Linked DNA regions of Canis lupus familiaris. The protein of the gene in region 2 purifies or fractionates together with the protein of the main gene of each other region. This does not show direct contact. Links are inferred from orthologs where the notes say so. Each region holds a gene or a part of one and is shown on either strand. Other genes may lie near its edges. The genes, in order: HAUS2 and HAUS5.

Region 1 (3,814 bases), on a different chromosome or scaffold from region 2:
GGAATAAAGGGAAAGGAGAGAAAATGAGTAAAAATATAAGTGAGGGTGACAAAACATGAGAGACACCTAACTCTGGGAAATGAACAAGGGGTAGTGGAAGGGGAGGTGGGCAGGGGGTTAGGATGACTGGGTGATGCGCACTGAGGGGGGGCACTTGGCGGGATGAGCACGGGGTGTTATGGATAACCTTATATAAGCACCAGGCAACAAAAACTCCAATTAAAAAAAAAGTAAATTCTTTGCATTATTCAACTCTACTCCTAGTTCAGTTTTTATAAGCCAGAGCCATATTCTTCACATAAAATCTATCTGCCTCTAACATTCTACATGGACATTAAAAAATAAGCATTTGGGGAACGCTGGGTGGTGCAGCGGTTTAGCCCCTGCCTTTGGCCCAGGGTGTAATCCTGGAGACCCAGGATCGAGTTCCACGTCGGGCTCCTGGTGCATGGAGCCTGCTTCTCCCTCTGCCTATGTCTCTGCCTCTCTCTCTCTCTCTCTGTGTGCCTATCATAAATAAATTAAAAAAAAAAAAATAAGCATTTGTCTTACAAACTATTTCTGATCATTTTAATATTTTGCCCAGAATTCAGTTACTGGCTGCCAATTGCCACTTTTAAATTTTATTTTGAAAAAAATGTCAAACTTACAGAAAAGTTTCATTATATTCCCATATACATTTCACCTAAACTCACCAACTATTAACATTTAGCTACATTTTTATTTCTTCTTTCTCCACATACTCAGTACATGTATTTTTGCTGATCCACTTAAGTTGTACATAACATGAAATTCTTACCCCTAAAACCTGAGCATGTATTTCCATAAATGGGAAAATTCTCTTATGTAACTATATTACAAGTATCAAATTCATAAAATTTAAAATTGGTACAATACTACCAATATTTAATACAGTCCATATAGACACATCACCAATTAATTCAATAATGTACCTTATAGCAAAAGAAATTTCTAATCAAGTATTCAGTCCATGACCATACTATGCTTTGGCTATTGAGTCCCTTTAGTCTCCTTTAATCTGGAAAGTTTCTCAGCCCTTCTTGGTCTTTCAAGCTTTCCTGAATTTGAGGAGCTCCTACCTTGGTTACATTTTATGCTATTTGTACTAGTCAAATGAATAAGACTTCTATTTGAGCACGGAATAGAAGACTTCATTAGCTTTGGGGAAATACCTGGAAAAATTACGGTATATCATAATTTTATTGCCTGGTGCTTATATAAGGTTATTCAAGAAAAAGTTGAAATTCCAATGATTACTATTTCATCAAACTACTTACCCAAAAAGAAAGGATGAACAACATCTGCTGTATCTTTTTCTAGTTTTAAAAGTTCAATTTCCAAGTTTTTCTACATTAATAAGAAAAATAACATTTAGCTCATGTAGAATGGTGCCTGAAGGCTTATACTTTAGTAAAAAAGGCATAGTCTTTAACCCAGGAATATTTGTGGGGAGGGAGAAAGATTTGTTATGATAGCCCAGGGGATTTACTGAAGATTTTCATTTTGGTGTTCAAGCCCTATTGCTGCTACTGCTACTACTAACTCCTACTATCACTTATAAGTAAACACTTATCTGGCTATGTGCTAGACAATGTTCTAAGTGCAAAAGAACTGCTATTGGAATCAAGATTTTTTTTCCCTGTACTAGAAAGTAAAAAGTCCAACATAATTTACCTGGTAGATTTCAGCTTGAATATTTGAGATCTGCTGTAGTCTGGAGAAGTTCACAAAGTAAGGTGCTGATTTCTTAGATATATTTAACATCTCCTATTGGTAAGTGAACAGAGAAAGCAGTCGTAAGTCACAAAAAGTTTCTATGTGCACTGGAATAGCAAACCCACAGACTTAAAACATGAGGATTTATTATGTCCAACACTGCCCCCGGGGAAAAAGAAGTACAGAGTGTAACAGTAGCAATGTATATTTCCTGTTTGCAAAATACCATCTGGGCGCCTGAGTAGCTCAGTGGGTTAAGCATCTGATTCTCCGTTTCAGCTCAGGTCATGATCTTGGGGTCATGAGACTGAGCACCACTTTGGGCTCCATGCTCAGTGAGGAGTTGGCCTGGTATGCTTACCCTCTTCCTTTTACTCCCCTCCGCCCATCCCCTCTGTGCACCCATAGATACTCTCTCTTTTTCCCTCCCTCTCAAATAAATAAATCTTAAAAAAAACAAAACAAAAAACAAAACAAAAAACAAACAAAAAACTAAATATTCACTATCACAAGTCCTTTGGCCAAATATTTAAAAAATAAGAAAAACAAAAAACACTTAATCACTGTGTTCTATTTCCTAAAGCACTATGCACAATATATTTACATTAGTGACAGCTTACCAGAGAAGGCTGGTAAGGTTAAGAAGGCTGAGGCTTAGATTGGTGGAGAATCACCTCTATACAAATCACCAAGACCTAGTCTCTGACTTTCTGAGGGCTAAAATCAAATAGTTTCCCACCATGGAATCATTTATCTGATTCATTAAATGATCTTTATTGGCTGCCTCTTTTCACATTCTCACTTTTTTTTAAAAAAAGATTTTATTTATTCATTAGAGACAGAGAGAAAGAGGCAGAGACACAGGCAGAGGGAGAAGCAGGCTCCATGCAGGGAGCCTGATGTGGGACTTGATCCCAGGACCCCTGGGATCACGATCGGAGCCAAAGGCAGACACTCAACCACTGAGCCACACAGGTGCCCCACATTCTCACTCTCTTAAAGGAATCTTCTGTCCAGGTGGAATTCTTCTTCTAAAAAGCTTATATCCTCCTTTTTATCCTTTCATTTCATGCAAAATATTGCTTGCATATATTGCCTCCTTAAATTGCAGGTTGCTTCAGAATAAGAATATTGTTCATCCCGAGTCCATCCGTAATTTTCTCTGTATTCTTTTCTTCTTCTTCTTTTTTTTTTTTTTTTTAAGATTTATTTATTCATGAGAGACACAGAGAGAGAGAGGCACAGACACAGGCAGCGGGAGAAGCAGGCTCTTCACAGGAGCCTGATGCGGGGACTCCATCCCGAATCCCCGGGATCATGACTTGAGCCGAAGGCAGCCGCCCAACCGCTGAGCCACCCAGGCGTCGCTCTTTTGTTCTTTTCAAGAATATTAGCATATTTAGATCTTTACATATCTTATAGGAAAAGGGTTAGAAAATGATAGTCCAGGAACTAAATGCACCCCACTCACTGCCTGTTTTTGTATAGGCCATAAGCTAAGAATGGTTTTTATATTTTTTAAATGCTGGGAAGAAAAAAATTAAAAGAAAAATAGTATTTTGTGACACATGAAAATTATATGAAATTCAAATTTCAGGATTCAGAATAAACTCAACTGCACCCATTTATTTACTTATTATCTCTGGCTTCTTTCACACTATACACCAGATGCAATTATATGGACCTAAAAGCCTCAGATACTTATTCTCTGGCCCTTAATAGTAAAAATTTGCTGACCAATGATAACACATTTTATTAGCATTTATTAAGTTAGGCAATTGAAGATTCAGGATGGATGGGAAGGAAAAGATATTCTAGTATTGATATATATGTGAAAAGAAAGGGAAGATGAATCTGAGAATGTAGTTTCCTACTTAATCATGAAAGATCTTGATAACTATGACAAACAATTATAATGCAGAAAATGAGAGTAATTCAAAGTTTTCTGGTGACGAGGTAACATGTTCATATATAATACATATTTTAGAAATTTAAAAAGGATAATATGGAAAATAGAACTTATGAGGCTGGGGGGGCAGTAAGGAATAGAGTGACTACTTAATGGGTATGGGGTTTC
Region 2 (4,452 bases):
AGTGGCCAAGCTAAGACATGAACCCAGCCTCAGAGTAAAATCCCAATGCCTATATGGCACTCTGTCCACCTCTTCCACCCCCCATCCCCCCAATGCTCTCCCTTTTGCCTGTGTAACTGAAGCTGAACTGGCCTCTGGGCTGTTCTTCCCAGATGCTAAGCTCAGCACCTTTCTTCTTGCTGTCCTTCTCCTTGAGATTCCTCCCCCAATTCAAATGTTACCTCCTCAGAGAGGCCTTCTCTGACCATCCTCCCCAGAGTAGCATCTCCTTCTCCCTTATTATCATATCACCTTTTTTTTTTTAATCATAGAATTTATCTTTCCCTGCAATTATAGCACCTGCTCCCTAGTTTACCATCTGGTTCCTCTGCATTATAGTGTAAGCTCCATAAGGGTGGGGACTTGTCCCTTATTTAATGTTCTTTCCCCAGAACATTCCCTAGATATACAGTTGGCACCATTCTAGGCCCTGGAAAAATAAGTGGCTGAGATAAGAAAACTTCCTGACCTCACAGACTTCAAATCCTACGGAGTAGAGCTCAGAATTCTAGAACCCAAGAAGGGGTCAGGGTAGAGCACTGGATCTCTAAGGAAAATGTCTGTCTGCCTGCCTGGTGAAGGCTGGTCCCTGGGCACCTGAGGCCCACCTCTCTATGTCCTGCAGACGCCTCAGCTGATTCTGTAGCCGCTGCATGGGATCTTGGAGCCCCTGCTGCTGTCTTCGCATGGCCCCAGCTTGGGCCCGGAGGAGGAGAGCACGACGCTGGGTGTCTTGAATGCTCTGCAGGGTCTGCTCCATGGCCATGTCTATAGGAGAAACACGTGGCCATCAGCAGTTCCCCTACACCCACTCCATTGCTCATCTTCCCAGCCCCATAGGTCACCCTGAGCCTCGGTCTCTTGCTCCACTAGCTCCAGGCTCTGGTCTAACTCCTGGATCTCTGCCCGCAGGCGAGCAACAGTGGCTTCCAGCTCCAGCTTCCGACGGGCCTGGCGGGAACAAGTACAGAGGTAGTTAGATGCATAGGGCTGGTTGGGGCTTGACCCAGCCTGACTGCTCTCTGTGGAGGACCGGTCTCCTTGCCTGCACAGGTAGGTGGCAGAGGGTTTATCACAAGTAATTTCTATGCCTGATTCTCTAGGCCTAGAGAAACACTAGGGTACCATCTGGCCGCCTCCTTCCTCCTGGGCTTGCCTCACCTATCCTCCTGTTTCCTGTCTCTGCGCTGATGACAGTACATCTCTGCCCCAGTTCTTACCTCCCCACTGAGCCCCACATCTAGGGGGTCCCAAGGTCTTCTGGAAGCCTTCCCCTAGATGTTACTGGGGCCCCTTGCACACAATAGGTCCTACACTGGCCTCAGTATATCTCCCAAACCAGTCCCTTCTCCCAGCTCACCTCATCAGCTTTGATGCTTCATATTCATATCCCTTCAACGCCCAGCTCATGCCTGTCTCCCCCAGACTATAAGCCCTCTGAGTGTGGGGATTAGGGCTGTCTTGTGACCCAGTATTCCCAGCATCACATAGCACAAGGCTGGGCCTAGAGCAGAAATCTACAAGTCCTCTTTTTGGATGAAAGAAAATCTTATAACACATGCATGCTTCTCACCTCTGGACTGTCCTGGTGGCCATACCTAGGAAATGAGACCAGAGTTAGGGGATGACAGAGACTTTGGGGCGGGGGAGACACAGGAGGTATGAGGCTATGGGTGAAAACACAGTTGGATGGGACTAGGGAAAAGAGGAAGGAATAGCTTTTAGAACCAGTTACCACAGTAGGTTTCCCCGGATCTTCTTGACACTCCTACAGCAGAGAGGCGGAAGAAGAGGTGTTACTGTGGGGCTTGCCTGTGTCCCCTCCCCTGTCAAAGCCTCCCTCATGCTGCCGGCTCACCTCTGGCTGTGCACATGCCGTAAGACGTAGGCCCAGATGTCGGCCCCCTGGCCCAGACACAGTCTGTGGGGACAGTGTGTAAAGGTATGCCTCGGGCATCACACAGGGTACATCATCCTTATCCTAGGGTGGTGGTGGTGGGGAAAGTCTGTACTAGGGAATTCTCCCTTCTGCAGGGAGAGAGGGCCCATACTTTTTGGAGTGAGACATTCCCTCCTGGGGAGTTCTCTGTCGCTGAGTTGTGGGCCTTTCACTGGGTGGGGTGATTCCTTTCTCCTGGGAGAAGGCCCATCTCTAGCCACTTCCAGAGGAGGGGGTTGGGGGGTACTGCCAGGAGGTGCTCTCATTACCCGATGTGGGGCATCACTCCTATAGATTCAGTCTCCAATGGGGTGGTCCTTGTTGACTCGAGCCCCCCTACCGGTTGGGGTGGGTGGGGGGTGGTAGGAGGTTGCAGGGACAGTCTTACTCCAAAGATCTTACTTCCACACAAGAAGGGGGCTTCAGGAACTCTGGAGGATCCTCACTGGCGCCTCGGCCCTCACTCCGGGTGGGAGTGTGGGGGTCCCCGTCAGGGGGTCGTCCCTCAATCCAGGCTCCCCTTCCTGGATATACTACTGGGTGTGTGTGTGTGTGTGTGTGTGTGTGTGTGTGAGGGGCGCCCTTAAGGGCCATCCTCACCCGGGCAGAGGAAGGGAGGGGCGGGGTTCCCACGGCCGGAGACCATCTCCGGGGCGGGGAGTCCTCCTCACTCGGGGCGTCCCTCACCTGCGCAGCGTCGACTCCGGGGCGCGGGCTGCGACGGGCGCCCCCATCTCCTCCGTCGCCCAGCAGCCCAGCTCCCGCGCTTCCCGCATCAACTCCATGCCAGCGCCGCAGCGGCGGCCTCCCGCGCCCGCTTCAAGTGCGGCGCCCGCCTCTGACGTCACGAGCGCGCCGGAAGTGACGCTGCCGCCGGCCGGGCGGGGGTCTCCCGGCTCCTCCGCGGCGCGGAGCGGTTGCCTGTCCCTCGCTCGTCCCGTTTGGGTCGCTTTGAGTGAAGATGAAGCGGGTGTGGAGAAGCGGCAAGGCCCGTTCTCTTTCCTCGTCCTCCCGCTCACCACCAAGTGGCCCCTAAGAGGCAGAAGCTCCCAGATGCCTCCCATGATGTGCGTGACAAAATGGGGCTTTCATCCTGCGAGGCCGGGTACGGAGATGCCAAACTTACTGCCCTTTGATGTCAGCAACAGGGTGGTTCAGGTCTGAGTGAGGGTTGGGGCCGACAGCATGAGCCTAATAGCGCCCCGCCATGCGTTCTTCTAGGTGTTCCTTCGTCTTTCCCATTCCATGACATTCGTGAGCCGACCCTGCCCCGCGGACACCGCGGTGGATGACAGCCCCAGCGTCCCTGCTGCGGAGCTCGGGTCCCCTGGGGGACGTAGACGCTTCACCATCACCAGGTAGGGGCGGTAGAAAGTAGACAGCAGGAGCGGGTCGGTTTGGGACAGGGAATGTGCGAGGTCCGTGAGCTGCCCCAGAAAGCCCTGGGTCCTGGGGCTAGAGATCCAGAGAGCCCACTCCGCCTCGGACAAGGGCCCCGAGAAGTGGCAACATTCAGTGACCTATCACTGAACATGCTTGCCGAGGTCATCGCTCTGTCCTGTGTCCAGTTCAAAGCCTGACTCTCTAAGAAGTCATTCAATAAACAAATGAGGGGAGAGGTGCTGGGGTAAAAATAAACGGGTCTGAGGAGGAGGGTGGAGCAGGATGAGGGAGGGTCGCCGAGGGCAGTGGTGGACCATGTAGGGCTGTGGAGCAGAGAGGTGAGGACTGAGTGAGTGGGTCAGGAGATTGATTGGCAGTAGAGGTCCAGGGCGAGGTCCAGGGCTCTGGGATTAGGTGAAGCAGACCTTGAAATGCGCATGTGAGAGAAGGGACAGCTTTGGGGGAGATGCTGATAACAATGTGGGACCCTGTGGGTGTGAGGAGTTAAGGGACATCCAAGAGGTGGCTGGCCCAGGGCAAAGGGACCATCGGGTCACCATTAGGATAGCAAATCTGGGGGAGACGCTGTCAAGCTTCAAATATTTCATAAGGGCTGAGAAGCAGAAGAGGGTGCCAGGGACTGATGTAATCCAGGTGGGTTTCCTGGAAGAAAGATTGGCAGCTGCTACTCCACAATACCTAATGCTCAAAAGGTACCATTTTGCTCAAACATTGTCAATCTTCTGCTTTTTCTGGGGTGTTTTGCTATTAAAAAACAAGTTGATTAGATAGCATGTCTGTCATTGGTCTGTGAGCCTTTCAAGGGGTTTTATTTTTATTTATTTTTCTTAAAGATTCTTTTTTTTTATTCATGAGAGACACAGAGAGAGAGAGAGAGAGAGAGAGAAAGAGGCAGAGACACAGGTAGAGGGAGAAGCAGGCTCCATGCAGGCAGCCTAAACCTCAGCTAAACTGCTGAGCCACCTGGGCTGCCCTCAGGGGGTTTTAAAATATACTGGCTGAGGATCCCTGGGTGGCTCTGGTTTAGTGCCTGCCTTTGGTCCAGGGTGTGATCCTGGAGTTCCGTGATT

Evidence for each region.
Region 1: the proteins of HAUS5 (region 2) and HAUS2 purify together in Homo sapiens (affinity purification with mass spectrometry; 5 studies listed by BioGRID and IntAct, with this or other methods). This does not show direct contact. The link is inferred for Canis lupus familiaris from reciprocal best matches to the Homo sapiens genes HAUS5 and HAUS2.

The regions. Positions count from the first base shown.
Region 1 is NC_049251.1:9,798,697-9,802,510, reverse strand, and holds part of HAUS2 (HAUS augmin-like complex subunit 2), read right to left. Parts: intron 1,789-3,814; coding exon 1,696-1,788; intron 1,369-1,695; coding exon 1,299-1,368; intron 1-1,298.
Region 2 is NC_049222.1:117,844,530-117,848,981, forward strand, and holds the start of HAUS5 (HAUS augmin-like complex subunit 5), read right to left. Parts: upstream 2,822-4,452; 5' UTR 2,764-2,821; coding exon 2,666-2,763; intron 1,982-2,665; coding exon of another isoform or gene 1,961-1,981; coding exon 1,898-1,960; exon of another isoform or gene 1,814-1,897; intron 1,808-1,813; coding exon 1,775-1,807; intron 1,638-1,774; coding exon 1,613-1,637; intron 1,093-1,612; exon of another isoform or gene 991-1,092; coding exon 885-990; intron 808-884; coding exon 648-807; intron 1-647. Other genes in the region: uncharacterized protein LOC111090112, read left to right, coding at 1,934-1,981, 3,200-3,336.